4 linked regions of the Arabidopsis thaliana genome follow. The protein of the gene in region 2 interacts with the protein of the main gene of each other region in a pairwise test. Each region holds a gene or a part of one and is shown on either strand. Other genes may lie near its edges. The genes, in order: OTP82, VAR3, NCED4 and CRR28.

What was found.
Region 1: the proteins of VAR3 (region 2) and OTP82 interact in a two-hybrid assay, tested with the Arabidopsis thaliana proteins (one study listed by BioGRID).
Region 3: the proteins of VAR3 (region 2) and NCED4 interact in a two-hybrid assay, tested with the Arabidopsis thaliana proteins (one study listed by BioGRID).
Region 4: the proteins of VAR3 (region 2) and CRR28 interact in a two-hybrid assay, tested with the Arabidopsis thaliana proteins (one study listed by BioGRID).

What each region holds. Positions count from the first base shown.
Region 1 is NC_003070.9:2,513,603-2,518,341, forward strand, and holds OTP82 (Tetratricopeptide repeat (TPR)-like superfamily protein), read right to left. Parts: upstream 3,019-4,739; 5' UTR 2,998-3,018; coding exon 772-2,997; 3' UTR 548-771; downstream 1-547. Other genes in the region: ACA7 (alpha carbonic anhydrase 7), read right to left, coding at 3,420-3,494, 3,612-3,665, 3,749-3,916, 4,026-4,128, 4,224-4,330, 4,552-4,739. UniProt on the Arabidopsis thaliana protein: Involved in multiple sites RNA editing events in chloroplasts. Involved in the editing of the site 9 of ndhB (ndhB-9) and site 1 of ndhG (ndhG-1) transcripts, which are two plastid-encoded subunits of the chloroplast NAD(P)H dehydrogenase (NDH) complex.
Region 2 is NC_003076.8:5,869,176-5,874,707, reverse strand, and holds VAR3 (zinc finger (Ran-binding) family protein), read left to right. Parts: upstream 1-1,925; 5' UTR 1,926-2,036; coding exon 2,037-2,479; intron 2,480-2,560; coding exon 2,561-2,687; intron 2,688-2,805; coding exon 2,806-3,086; intron 3,087-3,373; coding exon 3,374-3,472; intron 3,473-3,571; coding exon 3,572-4,898; 3' UTR 4,899-5,012; downstream 5,013-5,532. UniProt on the Arabidopsis thaliana protein: Probable component of some protein complex required for chloroplast and palisade cell development. Involved in C-to-U editing of chloroplastic RNA. Controls a large number of chloroplastic editing sites.
Region 3 is NC_003075.7:10,480,017-10,484,385, forward strand, and holds NCED4 (nine-cis-epoxycarotenoid dioxygenase 4), read left to right. Parts: upstream 1-1,602; 5' UTR 1,603-1,818; coding exon 1,819-3,606; 3' UTR 3,607-3,863; downstream 3,864-4,369. UniProt on the Arabidopsis thaliana protein: May be involved in carotenoid cleavage.
Region 4 is NC_003070.9:21,939,211-21,943,379, reverse strand, and holds CRR28 (Tetratricopeptide repeat (TPR)-like superfamily protein), read left to right. Parts: upstream 1-1,595; coding exon 1,596-3,512; 3' UTR 3,513-3,628; downstream 3,629-4,169. Other genes in the region: AT1G59710 (actin cross-linking protein (DUF569)), read right to left, coding at 3,707-4,102. UniProt on the Arabidopsis thaliana protein: Involved in multiple sites RNA editing events in chloroplasts. Involved in the editing of the site 2 of ndhB (ndhB-2) and site 3 of ndhD (ndhD-3) transcripts, which are two plastid-encoded subunits of the chloroplast NAD(P)H dehydrogenase (NDH) complex.

The sequences.
Region 1 (4,739 bases), on a different chromosome or scaffold from region 2:
TATATAAAAGAAAAGGAAATCTTTGTGGGACTCACCAGTTAAATGGAGGAGTGTATTGGATCATTAATTTAGAGTGATTTGAGTTTTTATGAGTTTTGATATTTTTTTGGTGAATTTTGTTGAATTAGGAAATTTGTTATTAAAATTCTCTCAAATCTCATCTAAAACTATGGGATTTGGATCTTATATTTTTAACTAAGAAATTTCCAGAAATAACAATGGATTTGATCGTACATTTTAAAATTACTAATCCAATAAGGCAATAACACTTGATTCCAGAATAATTCCACTTCAAAATTTCCAAAACAATTATGATTAATTATTTGTATTATAATTTTTTATAAAATTTTATTTATATAAAATGAACGCTTCACATTCGATAAGAACACATTTAATCATTATAGTTAACTATTATACATACTTTGTAAAAATTATTTTGAATCTGTGATAAATGTAAAAACTTTAATTGATTTTGATTAACTATGCTTCTTGGAAGCTAAAGTTTCATAATTTTAAATGTAAAAATTAGATGATTACTCAATTCTTTGCATGAACTATACATGTATAGAAAAATTATACGTCAGCATTTGTTATTTGAAAAGTGAAAAGTCTTTCTTTACATGTATACCCTTACATCAATGAATCAGTTACACCTTATATGCAATTTACTTGCTTGACTAATCTTCTTGTAATTTACAGCTACCACACAAAGAAAGTCATATTACAGTTCTTGACCAACATCATTGGTAACAAGATCCTCTGAAATGATGGCTACCAGTAGTCATTGCAGGAACAAACACCATCTCTAAAATGATGAAACCGAGTTCTGTCTCTAGCAATAATCTCCCTTTTGTAAATCTTTGATATAAGCTTTGTAGCCTCATGACAATTTCTGCATACCCTTAGATTCTTCACGATTGTAAGTTTAGTCCCAGGCTTTGTACTGATCAGCCCAAATGCAATAGCTAGCTTCTCGCTGTGATGCCGCAATGCTCCTTCCTTCCATTCTTCTTCCATCTCCTGCAAGACTTCAGAAGTATCTGGAACAAACCCGGCTTTCTCTAGTAACACCTCCATTTCTTCTAACATTCCGTAGATTTCTCTGTTCCGTGGATGGAATTTATCCCCGATGATGAACTCATGGACCACAGAATCTATTTCGATAGAGCTGCAACCAGGAACTTTCTTCATACCTTTATCATTGAGGAGAGCTCGTGTTTTTGCTACTTCGTTCCATCTTCCTGCTGAGGCATAAATGTTAGACAGAAGTACATAAGAACCTGGGTTTTCTGGCTCAATCTTAATGAGGTTTTCTGCAAATGATTCGCCCAACTCGACATTCCCATGCATCTTGCAAGCTTTGAGAAGGGAGCACCAAATCACTCCATCGGGCTCCATTTCCATCATGTTTATCATTTCTTCCGCTTCTTTGAATAGACCCGAATGACCCAAAAGATCAATCATGCAACCGTAGTGCTCTAATTTTGGGGTCATTTTGTAGTCCTGTGTCATTGTTCTGAAAATATGGCGTCCAAGATCTAGCATACCTGAATGGCTACAAGCAGACAACAAACCAACAAACGTGATATCATCTGGTTGAATCCCAATCTTTCTCATTCTTGAGAAAAGATCAAATGATGCATCAGCTCTCCCGTGCATTGCAAACCCAAATATCATTGCGTTCCAAGACGACAAGCTTTTATGGAGTATACTGTTGAACACTTGGTGTGCTGCCTCTATGTCTCCACATTTAGCATACATGTCAATCAGGCTTGTACGGAGAGAAGAAGCATTCGTAACACCCTTTAATCTCTTGTCGATATACACATGAATCCATCTTCCAATATCTATGGCTCCAAGGTGTGCACAAGCAGGAAGAATACTTAGCATTGTCACATCGTTTGGAGTTTCACCTGATCTAAGCATTTCTTGAAACAACAACAATGCTTCTTTGTAAAGATTCATATGTGTGTAACCACCGATCAAGGTATTCCAAGAAATTACATCCTTGTACGGCAATCTTTCGAACAAACCACACGCTGTCTCCAATTCACCACATTTCGAGTATAAATCAATGAGAGCATTAACAATCTTGAGATTTGAACCAAACCCATGATCATCAATCCATAAATGTACCTGACGACCCAATTCAATACTACCAGACTGAGCACAAGCAGAAACTACAGTGACCATTGTACTCTCGTCTGGCCTAACATTCGTCTTCATCATATCTTTAAACAATTCTAACGCTTCCTTATAGTTACCGGTTTCAGCATATCCTGAAATCATTGCATTCCATGATACTACGTCTTTAACGGGAATTTCATCGAACAACTTCTGTGCATTTTCGATATAGCCTCTCGATGCATAACCCTTGATCAAAGCTGTGTATGAAACCACATCTCGGTGAGGACTTTTATCGAACACCTTATGTGCATCTTCCAATCTCCCGTTTTGGACATACATAGAGATCAGAGAAGTATGTACATACAAATCTAGATCACATCCAAGTTTCAAAACATGCCCATGGATCTGTTGCCCTTCCTTAAAAGCTTTCGACTTTGCACAAGATTTCAATACAAACGGAAACGTGTAGGAATTAGGAAGAAGCCCAAGTGAAATCATACAAACATACAGCTTCAGAGCAGAAACAGGGTCCGAACTCAACGCGTGCCCACGAAACATCGTGTTCCAAATCAACAGGTTTGGCTCCTGAATAGTTTTGAAAACAGATATCGCATAAGGAAGGCCTTCAAAGTGTGGAGAGAGAATGCAGAACTCAATAAGCTTACTGAGAGCGTAATTGGTGTTGTGGAGACCGATTTTGATCATCTGAGCGTGGATAATGCGGAGAGATTGAAGAGTTTTGCAATTGTGGAGAAGAGAAAGAGAAGGGTGATTTCGTATAGAATCGTAAGGGGGATCAGAAGACGAAGGAAGGAAATGGAATGGGTAAGAAGAAGAAGGAACGGTGAGAGGAGAACACGAGAGCATCATCTTCTTCTTCTTACTTATCGTTGCTTCCAACGGAAATTTTCACTACCGCCACATTTAAAGTCCCAAATAGCACACGGACTTTGTTTGGGCCTGTGATTTTTTTGTTTGCAACTATATGGGCCTGTGATTAACTTTTCACTTACGATGTTTGATTATATATTTTTTTGGTAGGATCGATGTTTGATTATGTTGTTTTGCAAAATTTAAACGTAAACGGCAGAAATACTAAACGAGACCAAAATAATTAATAAGTTTTTAATAATATCCTTGTTGTGTTTACCATTATTTTCGTGGACGATAAATAAATAAAATCAACAAAACAGTCTAACGTAGAGTAACTAGAGAAACCTTTATTTTAGGGTATAATCATGATGTTTATGTGAATAATTAAGATTAGTAAAAGCTTTCAGTATCTTCATATATTAAACTATTGGTCTGTATAAGTGCACTATGCGCTTGTTGGTTGGTTGAACCGGCCTCGCATTCGAATTAGCATCCTAATAAATATCATTCAAAACACTAGTTAAAATAATGAAAAAAGAATGAATAAATTGGATGGAAAAAAGCATCATCATGGGATGAATATTCCATTGACCATAAGGAATCTCACTTACATCGTGCACTGCCACGCGGAGGAGCTTCACTTGTTTTCTTGTCACGGTCCTAACCTGAAATTTTATTAAAGGAATTAAACATTGCTATTAATTAGGTAATTAAGACCAAAATGAAGTGAAAATAGATAAATAAATACCTTTCTAACGACGCTCCAAGTAACGTTTTGAGTGCAAGGAGGAGTGGTAAGTGAACCAGTGTATCTGTAATATTTTCTGCTTCCGATCTTAATTTTGGTGGGATCAATCATTCCTACATTTTTCTCAGCCTCCTCCATTTCAGCAATGCCCTCTAATTCTTTCTCCAACTAAAACCAACCCAAATTTTCAAAAACAAATAAATCAACAATTACTGTTGGTTCCAATATTACATATCGATGCAGTTAATAATAGATATTAAGTTTTTTATATGTGTACCGATCTGATAAAAGTATCTGCTCTTCCGATCTTGTACAACACAGTCACAACAGCCATTCTTCTATTCCTGCCTTCGTGAACCATATGCAGCTCAAGTGCAAACCTGGTTTGTTTGCAAGTTCTAATACTTTTAGTTTTGTGAACCGATCAAGATAGTTTTGATGTAGTTAGTAATTATTATCTTAATGAAATAGTTACCTTCTTCCATTAATAGTATGTTCAGACGGAGAGTGCCAGTGAAGCTGTTGAAGTTCATATTCAAAACCATTGATCTTAATAGTTCCTGCTCCATCTTCAAATTTTAACTGCAACAGGATTAATCAACACATGATTATTGGTTTATTAAGGGTTACGGTTTTTAATTAGTAGAAACTAGAAGCACATAGGTGGCTCTATAATAATGGCTTCTGTGTAAGAATAAAAAGTTACCTAGTTTTATATATAAACACAACAAAATCAAACGAAAAAAGTGTGTGCTAGCTTAAACAGAAGATGAGTCCATGCATGTTTATATATATTATTATACCATGATGTCATGGCCTCTGTTCTTAAGAGTTGCATTTGAAGGATTATAGTCTCTATTAAGCCTTCCAAGATGAGAAACAATGTTAACTCTCTCGTTCATAAGATCTATGGGAGATTGCATCTCTCCTTTTCCACACATTTCCCATTCCGGTTTAAGTTCTCCCCATCTCTCTGGCCCCTTCTCATCGT
Region 2 (5,532 bases):
AAATACTATCGACTGTATTTTAGGGGTTACATTTAAGATTATCAAAACTTCGACTTAAATTCAAACGTCTAATATAAAATTTTATGTGAAGTTGTTTAATGGTCCGATTAATAGCGCAAGACGGTAAGAGCTTTGTAACTGTACAAAATAGTGATAAAAATGGTGGTATGGTTGAATATGGTAAAAATGATAAGAGATGAAAAATGGTACGATAAGAAGTCGTTAGACCAAAAAACTAGCTGCATATTGAATTAGTTCGAATGAATAATAGGATTGCTTTTTCTACATAGTTCTGAGGTTACTTCTCTTTCGGTAGTTCGTGGATCCATCGGATCATGTTCGTCATTTGATAAAGTCGTCGGTGAATTTTACGAAATGGTTAGTGGTTATTGATCATTGTTTAACCACAATTTCTAACACTCTCACTTGTACGATTAAAGTTAATGGAATTGTGTTTTTCTTATCCTTTTAAAATTTGAGACAATCTTTCAATAGACCCAGAAAACAAAAGGTGGCGAGAAAAGGTAACTTCGAAACTCCAAGCGCTAAAATAATGTTCGGATAATCATGATTCATGAGATAAGTCACACTAATTACATTAACATAGAAAAAGTTTCTTTAAAACTTCTTGATTAGTTTTAAAGAAGACACTTTAACTAATTTGAGGAATTTAGGGCTTTATCTCATGATGTAATGACATAAAGTCTCTTTATTAAAATTGAATTTTAATTACAAATCATGTCAAAGTTGTTAGCCCGTCCATTGCACTTGTGGCATAGAACTAAACATGTCACATCAAAGTATAAATAGTAATTAATTATGATAAAATACATTTCTAGGGGAATTAATGAGGTTATACCTTACGGACTTAGATTGAAGTCATTATCAAGGCAGTTAATTGTCTACGTACTCACCAATATTTTACTCCACATAGATCTAAACAAAGAAATTAGTTATTACATTATAAATAGCTTAGTGTATGTAAAAGTGTTAATCAGAATAAACATTAGTCAAAAGTTGACGGCAGTGATCGGCAACTAATCCACACCCAACTTTAACTCACAGTGACTCCCACGTTCAAGAGAACACAAATATTATTCTCTCCTTTTTAGTTCCACTGATGTTTTAATTTTCGTTTCTTTCGTTTATATAAAACTATATTCATAACGTATTATTTTTTAGTTAATTTTTATTTCTTAGGTTTTATTATATATTGTAATTGTATAAGTTCTGAAACCAAGAAGTACTAATACATAATAAATATAACTATTTTAGATCCTTGACATAGCTTTTTTCTATAGTATATGTAAAAATAGTCTATATCATCTATTATTTTCGAAAGTTGTAAGTTGTAACATATAAACTTATTAATTTAAGAAAAACAAAAGTTAGAAATTAAATAACGTATGTGAATTGAAATCTCTAAACAAGTAAACATCACTTATTACGAACATATGTAGAAGTATAACTATAATCGAGGTTTGTTAAGTAAGTGAAAATTCAATAACGGAGAAATGTATGACTATAAATCTTTTAAAGTTATAGCGGCTTTAAGTCAAAAGAAATGTATGCATGCGTATGACATTGTACAATGTACACTTCAACTTTTCAAGTCACGAAAATTGATGTCAAATCGACGTGCAATTTGATAAATACCGAATCTGCAAACTCCTTTTTATATTGTATAAACTGAAGATTTCAACATAAAACTTACGCTTATCTTTAAAACATCTCTTAGATTAGATTACTATCAGTTCGTTACTTGGGTTAATTCCATTATTAGTACGAAACCATTTACTTTTTCTTTAAGAGACATCCCATTTGAATGAAATACATTATTTACCAAAGTTACCAAACATTCATAATGGCAAGCCCAAGTAGTAGCACACAGAATTATGGGCCTATGTTAGCCAATATGGGCTTATTTTTTTCTTCATTTTGCAATTATTTTGCGATTTATTAATCCTTTTTTTTTCCTTAAACATCACTGAAATAATTCTCGCCGGTAAAAATAAAACCAGTGACGACGAGCAACGATGAACAACTCCACCAGACTCATCTCCCTCTTCTCTCCTCATCCTCCTCCTCTCTTTCTACTCCGTGGTCTCTACATCAGCCGCATAGCCAATCTCCGCCGTTTCCACCGCCGTGCGTTTCCTCCTTCGTCCGTTGCCTCAACCAATCTATGTTCTTTCCGTCCACTCGTGTCATTGCCGCCGCTTATCCCCACGTTTCCTATAGGACGATTCTACAATCACCAAGTCCGTGTCTCCGCCGCAGATTTTGTTCCTTCTTATCACAACCAGCAGCTACCTGAATGGACAGAGCTACTCCAATCTCTCTCCAAAGCTGGTTACTTCTCAGATTCCGGTTCGATTTCTGGTTTAGAAAGTGAATTCTTTCCCGGTTTTCCTGATGAACTTCTCCGTCCAGCTCTTGCTTGCTTAGCTCTAGCTCGTGAACGACCAGAACTGCTTGAGTAAGTAATCTGCAATTTTTTCTCTTTCTCTTTTTGGATTGATTCTCAATCTGAATATCTGATGATGTTAGTGTTTATTAGAATGCTTTCGAGGAGAGACGTTGAAGTGCTGGTGGAGAATGGAAAGCCATTTTTATTCAAGACAGGTCCAGATTCACTTAAAAGGATGAGCCTTTACCTAAGAAGTGGTCTTCAGGGCATTGGTAAGGTAAGTTCTATCTTCTGGCAAATGCTTAGTCTTTTATTGGTGAATGCTAGGTTATGTCTAAACTTGGTTCAATGGTGATTTGTGCCTCAAAGTTATGATCTTTTGTGTTTTACATTAGTTGATGGATATGGAGAAGGCGAGTACAGTTGATTTGATGAGGCTTATTTTGAGTTATGTTGTGGATGTTGCTTCTTCTGAGGAGAGCAAACAACATAACAAAGAGATTATGGAGTCATCGGTTCGAAGCCTCTTGAGTCAGATAGCGAAGATGAGCTTGCGTCCTCCTGAGTCGAATGTTCATGACACGATGCAAAATCAGTACTCAGATAGAGATGGACAAGGAGTCAGGTCTTTTCAGAATAACGTTGAGATGAAACGTGGTGACTGGATTTGCTCGAGGTATGAATTTGTTGGATTCTCAGTAGCTTTTTGGTGTAAATCTCCTATGGCCTTTTGGTTACCATTCTTCTATGGAAAGATATAAGTAGGCCTAGATATAAGGATACCATAAAAAAAAATCTTCTGGATCTGAGCTTGAACAAGTATACTTCTGACTATTACACTAGTATTGTGGTCGAAAGATCTTATTTTTAGAGCTAAGAAGTCAGTATGGTGTAATTGTCTTTGTTTCATCATCTTGTCGTTTAGGGAATCTATATATATGATGTGGGAATTTGTTGAAACAGGTGCAGTGGCATGAACTTTGCGAGAAATGTCAAATGCTTCCAGTGTGATGAAGCAAGACCAAAGAGACAGCTTACTGGTAGTGAATGGGAGTGTCCTCAGTAAGAAACTGATTTTTTCTCTCTGCTACTTTATGACTAATGCGATGAGGAATGATGAGGTTAACCTTTCCTTTCTTTCTTGGTTGTTTCACTTATCAGATGTGATTTCTATAATTACGGGAGGAATGTAGCTTGCTTAAGATGTGACTGCAAGCGACCCAGGGACTCTTCACTCAATTCAGCCAACTCTGATTATTCAAGTGACCCTGAACTTGAGAGAAGACTGGTCGAAAACGAAAAGAAAGCACAGAGGTGGCTTAGTAAAGTAGCACAGGGTGGTTCTGATGCGAACAGTGTTGATACAGATGAAGATTTCCCAGAGATTATGCCTTTGAGGAAAGGAGTGAATAGATATGTTGTTAGCACGAGGAAGCCACCTCTTGAGAGAAGGTTGGCTAATACTGAGAACAGAGTAGCTACAGATGGAAACTCGAAAAGGAGCGACGATAATGCTTTGGGAAGTAAAACAACTAGGAGCTTGAATGAGATTCTTGGTTCTTCATCCTCTTTGACTTCTCGTTCTGATGACAAGAATGTATCTTCCAGAAGGTTTGAATCTTCTCAGGGAATAAACACCGATTTTGTTCCTTTCGTGCCATTACCTTCGGATATGTTTGCCAAGAAACCTAAGGAGGAAACACAGATAGGTCTGATTGACAACATCCAAGTGGATGGTTTCTCAGGCGGCAATCAAAATGTCTATCAAGAGGACAAGTCAGATGCAAATCACTCTGGCAAAGAAACAGATCGCCTTGAAAAGGAAGATCACAAATCAGAGGAACCTGCGAGGTGGTTCAAACGGGTCACCGAACTGCACAATGTTTCAGACTTGGAAAGCGCAATACCGCAAGAGATTTCTCCTGAGAAAATGCCTATGCGAAAAGGAGAGAATCGGTTTGTAGTGAGTAGGAAGAAAGACCGTTCACTGACTTCTCCAGCATACAAGAGGCCAGAAGATTCAGACTTTGTCCCCTTTGTCCCTTTCCCACCTGACTACTTCGCCAAAGAGAAACAACCCAAGGAATCAATAGATACTCTTCCAGCTCCGGCGACAGAAAACGTTTCTCAGGTAGTACAACAAGAACCAAGAGAACCTTCAATCAACAAATCTGATACAGTGGCAGTGAAGATCAGAAATGGAAAGAGCTTGGAGGGTTCGTTAGTGAAGGAGTCAGACTTGTTGGACATGTCAGAGGAAGCAAAAGCAGAGAGATGGTTTAAGAGAGTGGCTGAGATTAAGAACATATCAGAGCTGAGTGAGATCCCAGACGAAGATTTCCCGTCGATAATGCCGATGAGGAAAGGAGTGAATAGGTTTGTTGTCAGCAAGAGGAAAACTCCCTTGGAACGGCGTTTAACTTCTCAACGACACCAGAGAAATCCTCATATCACCAACTCTGATCCCACTGGTAAAGGAGATAAATGACCATGTAGCATAACATTTTTTCGGAGTAATATTACCATACGATTTTTGTATTTCTTTAATTCAACTTCTATATACACAATGTGTAGAAACTTTATTCTCCATCTTTACCGACGGCATCCTTTAGAAGTCGCTGTGTTTCTTCTCTCCTCCTGCACACAACAAAATCAACATTGCTATAATACATCAAACGTTACCACAACAAGCTTTTGAAGAATCTTGGATGGATGATACTGATACCATTAATATAATAAAGTTAATGCACACAAACATCTTAATGTCCTTCACAGCTTGCTTTCGCTGTTGAATTTGAAGTTCCATAATGTGAATAAGCTTTGGTCTCGCCTTGATTAAAAGAAACAACACAAATATATATACAGACAGAATGTTGTGAATATAAACGTAACACAAAGTGATGAAACATGTTGTGAATGAAAAGAGATCGTTACTTGGTGAGGCAGTAAAGAATTGAGAAAGTAATGCAAAATATTAAAGATTGAAGATATATCAGCAAGCTCCAAAAGGAGAGTTATAAGCAAAACCGAAAACACGTCGTTAGAGGCAAGATTTAGAACGAGAGGCAAGATTTAGAACGACGTCGTTTATGATATCTGCGGGTAAATCAGGCTCCCCTATT
Region 3 (4,369 bases), on a different chromosome or scaffold from region 2:
GAACCTTTGTAGTAGGAGACATGGAGCTTTTGTTGTTTGTTGTAACTCTACTAGACTACTACTGTTGTTTTCTAATCAGATCTAATGGATTTGGGCCTCCAGCTAAATTTTGAGTTTCCCGTGAATCCATATTTCAAGGTTTTATCTATTTGGGCCTCAACAGCTTAAGCTTATATAAGACGAGCCGATTCGATCATGGTTTAGTGACAACTGACAAGTGTACTTGCTAAGAACCAAGTAACCGAATGAGATTTGGATTTTTAGAAATGATTTTTCAGTTTTACTTTGGTTCAAACCGAAAAAGTAAGCCCCGATCGCATTCAATTATCCAAACACGATAATCTTGCTCAATTCTACTCTTTTAACTTTGGTCCTGTCTGTTTAAAAGCTAAAGAAGATTGGTCCCTACCAAAAAAAAAAAAAAAGCTTAGAGGATTTGTTTTTTGATTTTTTTGCTAAATTTTGCTTAGAGGATTGGCTGGGACTTTAAGATAAAGAAAGAAGAAAAAATTACAGTTACAGTTTAATCAATCGACTTAAATCATATAAACTTAATTTCAATAGATAAGTTTGTATTAGTTTAGCTTGAAAAATAGAAGTAGTAAAGAGTTCGATATTATCTAGAAAACTACAACGTAGGAACAACACATAAACATGTGAATTGTGCATGCATAACCCCAAAGAGTGGCAATATCAATTATCAAATATGCAACACTTGTACCATTACATGTCATTCTATCTTTCATATTTTTGATGATTTTGCACTTTGAACTCTGAACCATCCATGATCCATTCCCTTGACTTGTAAAGGTTATCAATCAAACTTAAGTTTTTAAAAATTAAATTTGTAGTCAAGAATAGTAGTCATATATATATATATATATATACAAAAAACAAAAATTTCCCCGACCCAAGTGACCGAAAATAACGACTACATGTTTTATTCCTCCTTTAGTATAATGCGACATTACAGTTTGGTATCAGTAGTTTTGTATCCTTCTCACAATCACGATTGTTGGTGTAATAAACTTTATTCTTTCTATCCAACATGTTATAGTTTCCACATTTGTGGGTGCTGAAATTTCGACCAATGTCACTCGTAGACTCGTATACCTAATCGAGTTTACTTTTATATCAACAACTACAGACCAAGATTCCCATTTCACGTTGTTGTTTTTTTTTGTTTTTTTTATAAACATTTTTGTTGTTATCGCTAAATCATTAGTAGCTAGAATGCCCCGTACACGGTCTTGAAAAGGAGTCAAATATGTTTTTACCAAAGAAGAAATGTAAGAAACATAACATTTAACAAAATTTTAAAATATATTGACTAACAATTTGACCCAAAAAAAACTATCAAATTTAATAAAATACTTTTATGATTATCATAGTTTTTTTCCTTTTCAACAACTTTATAATACTGTAGTGGCTCAAAGAAACCAGGTCGGAGAAATTGTTCACAAACGAGATAATATACAAATTCAAAATATTTCGATGAAACATTTTTGTCAAAGTTGATGAATAGTTTTGCAGCACATAAAATACAAGATAATTCGTCTGATATTTAGGAAAATAATATTATCGTATGTGAAAATAACAATATAGACAAACCAATATTTGTAGATTAGAACTTCACATAAACTACGAACCAAAGGATTTTAGTAGCTTCACATCAAAGAATAAAAATCTAAGTTTCACAAAGAAACAATTAAATGATTTTTGATTTTGAAAATTTAATAAATAGCCCCACACAACACACTCATCTTCCTTCACAGCCTTAAACGTGGAGCCAAAGAAAGTAAAAACAAAAGGAGAGCAATGGACTCTGTTTCTTCTTCTTCCTTCCTCTCCTCCACATTCTCTCTTCATCACTCTCTTCTTCGCCGCCGATCTTCCTCTCCTACTCTCCTCCGTATCAACTCCGCCGTCGTCGAAGAACGTTCTCCAATCACAAACCCAAGCGACAACAATGATCGTCGTAACAAACCCAAAACACTCCACAACCGAACCAATCACACCTTAGTCTCATCACCACCGAAACTCCGACCAGAAATGACTCTCGCAACAGCTCTCTTCACCACCGTCGAAGATGTAATCAACACGTTCATCGATCCACCTTCACGTCCTTCCGTTGATCCAAAACATGTCCTCTCTGATAACTTCGCTCCTGTCCTCGACGAGCTTCCTCCAACAGACTGTGAAATCATCCACGGCACTCTTCCACTGTCACTTAACGGCGCTTACATCCGTAACGGTCCAAATCCACAGTTTCTCCCTCGTGGTCCTTACCATCTCTTCGACGGCGACGGTATGCTTCACGCCATAAAAATCCACAACGGTAAAGCCACTCTCTGTAGCAGATACGTCAAGACTTATAAATACAACGTCGAGAAACAAACCGGAGCTCCGGTTATGCCTAACGTGTTTTCCGGATTCAACGGTGTAACGGCGTCAGTAGCTCGTGGAGCTTTAACGGCAGCTAGGGTTTTAACCGGACAGTATAATCCGGTTAACGGCATTGGTTTAGCTAATACAAGTCTAGCTTTCTTCAGTAACCGTCTCTTTGCTTTAGGTGAATCTGATTTACCCTACGCCGTCCGATTAACCGAATCAGGAGATATTGAAACGATCGGACGGTACGATTTCGACGGGAAATTAGCGATGAGTATGACAGCTCATCCTAAAACCGATCCAATAACCGGAGAAACTTTCGCTTTCCGGTACGGTCCGGTTCCACCGTTTTTAACATATTTCCGGTTTGATTCCGCCGGGAAAAAACAAAGAGACGTTCCGATATTCTCGATGACGTCTCCGTCGTTTCTCCATGACTTCGCGATCACGAAACGTCACGCGATTTTCGCAGAGATTCAGCTTGGCATGAGGATGAACATGTTGGATTTGGTTCTCGAAGGTGGTTCTCCGGTTGGTACTGATAACGGAAAAACTCCAAGGCTTGGAGTGATTCCTAAGTACGCCGGAGATGAGTCGGAGATGAAATGGTTCGAAGTTCCTGGATTCAATATCATTCACGCTATTAATGCTTGGGATGAAGATGATGGAAACAGCGTCGTTTTGATTGCACCGAATATTATGTCGATTGAACATACTTTAGAGAGGATGGATCTGGTTCATGCTTTGGTGGAGAAGGTGAAGATCGATCTCGTCACCGGGATTGTGAGACGTCATCCGATCTCAGCGAGGAATCTCGATTTCGCTGTGATTAATCCGGCGTTTCTCGGGAGATGTAGCAGGTACGTTTACGCGGCGATTGGAGATCCGATGCCGAAGATCTCCGGTGTGGTGAAGCTTGATGTGTCTAAAGGAGATCGGGATGATTGTACGGTGGCCCGTAGAATGTACGGTTCAGGTTGTTACGGCGGAGAACCGTTTTTCGTAGCTAGGGATCCTGGTAATCCGGAGGCGGAGGAGGATGATGGTTATGTGGTGACGTATGTTCACGATGAAGTGACTGGAGAATCGAAGTTTCTGGTGATGGACGCTAAATCGCCGGAGCTTGAAATCGTCGCCGCCGTGAGGTTGCCGCGAAGGGTTCCGTACGGATTCCATGGGTTATTTGTCAAGGAAAGTGACCTTAATAAGCTTTAACAATATAGGTAACTGCAATAGTTAATAGAATAATTAAGTCTTAATTACGTCCCGTACAACAAATCGCATAGTGTTGTTGCACACTTGCACTTTATACATTAAACTAAAGTACACATAGTTTGGTGGTGGTCGATGTATATAAAACATACCAAAGCTTATGAATATTATTTTTTTCTTTTAAATATGCAGCTTCTGTTATTGGCAATAAATCTTATAAATATTCATTCATTCCGAGAGTTATCAGATCTTAACACAACTCTATTTCTCTATTTCATATTAGTGGAAGATGTAGATAAAAATATGAGAATGCTGAGTTTTAATACTCGAATATGACAATGTGGGCAATGTGTCATGCCAATATTGTTTCTTAAGCATAAAAACTGAATACATTGTTAATAAGATCATGAGACAACTATCAGTCGAAATATGAATGATCAGTTAACGGATAAAGAAAATTAATGCACAGAAAAAGATTTGTGGTTTAGATAAATAAATAGGAACATGAAAAAGATTGTGTTTTAGTGATGGGACCAACGAGACATCATTGTTTTGAGCAAAACATGAGGTATGGATATGGATATGGCCCAACGTCATTTATAGCATATACAACGACCTTTAGAAATGTAACCTCTTAAAACAAATTTAAATCTTTTAATTTTAGTAGTATTAAGAAAACCTTGAAATTATTGTGAATTGGGTGTAGTGGAATCAAAGCAAACGAGTGGCCAAAGCAATAAACGAACGAGAGTGACACTGACATAGA
Region 4 (4,169 bases), on a different chromosome or scaffold from region 2:
ATATAAAAAAGATGTTATAAGCAGGCCACTAAGTTGAAAACTCGCAGTCACATTGCTTTGATCATCTCTACTGAAATTTCTGAACTTTGTTTCAATAAATGGTTCGTTAATTTTTTTAAAAGCCGTTAAAAAGGAAAATTATACATGTAGTTTTACATATTTAGCACCTTGGATTTCTTATACAATGAATTCCCTAGGATTTTAATACAATTTCTCTTTTGTTTGATAGGAAGAATATACATTCAAGTTTGGATCTACTGATGAAAGAGCTAGGGAAAAAACGTTAGACTATATCAATAGCCGTAAAGGTACACAAACACAATCGAATAGTTTTGTGGAGCCAAAATAAACCATTTTTTTATATATATAGTTGCTACTAAATATATAGTTTACATAGAAAACATTTCAATAACACTATAATATTTAAAAATCTATATAAATGTATTTTTCCTTTTTGTTAGGAGTTAGTTCTGTAACATATAATATACAAAGCGACTTGCTAACCGTGAAGGGAGAAGGACTTGATGAGGTTAAAATACAAAAGAAGATAGATAAGATTTGTAAACCGAAAAAGGGGGTTTTAATGTGTTTTAATTAGTCCCAAATAATGGTTTGTCCAAAAACATAAAGTCCCAAATAATGATATGGTGTTATCTTATGTCTTGCTTATTTATGTATTTGTATCCTATAGAAATAATAGTATGGTTGACCAAAACAGAAAAAAAAAATTATATATAAGTTTTAGGATTTTTCTTTTAATATTGATTAAATTTTGCGATGGAAAATAGTATTTCTGCGTAAATGTACCAAAAGATATGATTTATCAGTCATTAATTTATAGTTTTCTACCATACTACTAAAATAATTTTTATTTTTTTGTAATGTTGTAAACATTTTCGTGTATGAATTATATCATAATGTTCTCATATGAATGGATCGAAAAATGTCCATACAACTTTAAGATAATAAAGTGTATCATGATCAAAGAGATTAAGAATTGTTTTTTGACAATGTATATGGAGGATACAAAGCTTGGAGACCAAGTAATGTAACATTTTTATGGATCTATGTAACAGCTTGGAGACCAATTATGTATATTCTATTTGTAGGATATTCAGAATACATATTCGATACTAAATAGCAAAGCTTGGAGTGTCTTGAGTGGTTTTTGGTGGTTGCGACAGAAATCCTCCAATGTAAGCCTTGGCCAGTCAAGCTGTTACCAGTTGGATAGGGTTCATGCTACCGTTCTACGTTTTCTTTCTATATATATTACAAAATAATTACTATAAAATTGTAATATAAATAAAAATTGTACATTTTAAATATATAAAACAATAGGTTGTAAAATCTATTGATCAATTAAACGAATTATATTATAATTTATTTTATTTTAAATATAGTTTTGCGGTTTACCGTAAATTAAAATCTAGTAAATTAATTAAATTAGATAATCATTCTAAATATATTTTTTAAAAATATTAATTGACTCTCGGTTAATCCAATGACTCGATGAGTAGTCTTGCTTGCCATCCGGTTTGCCATCCGGTTCGGTTTAAAAACATTGGTTTTTTCACGAATTCCAAACTTAAAGTATGGTTGTTCGTTCAATTATCGTTTCACCTCCAACAACTATAACTTATTACCATCCAATGTCTATCGGTCTTCTGGTCCACCCATTATCTCCTCATATCCCACCGGCAAGTTCTCCCTCAGCCTCCACCGCCGGTAACCATCACCAACGTATTTTCTCCTTAGCAGAAACATGTTCAGACATGTCTCAGCTCAAGCAACTTCACGCCTTCACTCTCCGTACTACTTACCCTGAGGAACCCGCAACTCTGTTTCTCTACGGCAAAATCCTCCAGCTCTCTTCCTCCTTCTCCGACGTCAATTACGCGTTCCGGGTTTTCGACTCCATCGAAAACCATAGCTCTTTCATGTGGAACACTCTTATAAGAGCATGTGCTCATGATGTTTCAAGGAAAGAAGAAGCCTTTATGCTTTACCGGAAAATGTTAGAGAGAGGTGAATCTTCACCGGATAAGCATACGTTTCCGTTTGTATTGAAAGCTTGCGCTTATATATTCGGGTTCTCCGAAGGGAAGCAAGTTCATTGTCAGATTGTGAAACATGGGTTTGGTGGAGATGTGTATGTTAATAATGGTTTGATTCATTTGTATGGGTCTTGTGGGTGTTTGGATTTAGCACGGAAAGTGTTTGATGAAATGCCTGAGAGAAGTCTTGTTTCGTGGAATTCGATGATCGATGCTCTGGTTCGGTTTGGGGAGTATGATTCTGCGTTACAACTGTTTAGAGAGATGCAGAGATCGTTTGAACCAGATGGTTATACGATGCAGAGTGTTTTGAGTGCGTGTGCTGGTCTTGGATCTTTGTCACTAGGTACTTGGGCACATGCGTTTCTGCTGCGAAAATGTGATGTCGATGTTGCTATGGATGTTTTGGTTAAGAACTCGTTGATCGAAATGTATTGCAAATGCGGGTCGTTGAGAATGGCTGAGCAAGTGTTTCAGGGGATGCAAAAACGTGACTTAGCTTCATGGAATGCAATGATTCTAGGGTTTGCTACACATGGAAGAGCTGAGGAAGCCATGAATTTCTTCGACCGTATGGTGGATAAAAGAGAGAATGTTAGACCGAACTCAGTCACGTTTGTTGGCTTGCTCATCGCCTGCAACCACCGAGGCTTTGTAAACAAAGGGCGCCAGTATTTTGACATGATGGTCAGAGATTATTGCATCGAACCTGCGTTGGAGCATTACGGTTGCATCGTCGACCTTATTGCTCGTGCAGGCTACATTACTGAAGCTATTGACATGGTAATGAGCATGCCAATGAAACCAGATGCAGTGATATGGAGAAGTCTCCTTGATGCTTGTTGCAAAAAGGGTGCTAGTGTGGAGCTAAGTGAAGAAATTGCTAGAAATATTATTGGAACAAAGGAAGATAACGAAAGCTCCAATGGTAACTGCAGTGGTGCATATGTACTGTTGTCTAGAGTTTATGCATCAGCTAGCCGCTGGAACGATGTTGGAATCGTTAGAAAACTAATGAGTGAACATGGAATTAGAAAAGAGCCTGGATGCAGTTCTATTGAGATAAATGGCATCTCCCACGAGTTTTTCGCAGGAGACACGTCGCATCCTCAGACCAAACAGATATACCAACAGTTGAAGGTGATCGACGACAGGCTAAGATCAATTGGTTATTTACCGGATCGCTCTCAAGCACCTTTAGTGGATGCCACCAATGATGGTAGCAAAGAGTATTCCCTTAGGCTGCACAGTGAAAGACTTGCCATTGCTTTTGGTCTGATAAACTTACCACCTCAGACTCCAATCCGTATATTCAAGAATCTACGTGTCTGCAACGATTGCCACGAGGTTACTAAACTGATCTCAAAAGTCTTCAACACTGAGATCATCGTGAGAGATCGTGTTCGTTTCCATCACTTCAAAGATGGATCCTGCTCTTGTTTAGACTACTGGTAGCAAAAAAAAAACTAGTCGCAGTAATTGAAAGAGATTGAGCATTAGAGTTGGACAAAAGGGAAAGAATGGTATCTCTAAATCATAAGTTTGGTAATCAAGCAGTATCTCTAAGTCAATCCAAATCCTTTCTTAGTAGCAACAAACCAATTGCAGCCAAAGCCTTCACTTCACAGCTCAGCTTCAAAAGAAAGATCTCACTTGATGAACTTTTCTGCTACTGTTAAATCCAAGAAAACAGAGAACATCAGTGACAATGCAACGACTTGACTTGAAATTAGGACCAAAAGAGACTCACTTTTTGATGATTTTGGCACTAAGACAACAGTCATGTCAGCATTGTTAGGTGGAAGTTGAAGACGCAATGGGAAAAGCTTCCCGTTCAACGGACTACGAGTACAAACGATAACGTCTTCGACATTGCTCTCTTCTTTCAATCTCATAGTCAGCTCTTCAACACCATTTCCTTTGAAAGTAAACGAACTTACCTCAACAGAGTCATCTTCAACATCATCATCATCATCCGCCACATGGTAGTATATCACTCTCCCTTCCGATTTCGGCGGCGATCCAACCGCCAGTGAATCCGTTGACTACCACACACAAAACATCAAGTCAACGAATCATCAGCACAAAAAATGATAACAAAAAAAAAAAAAT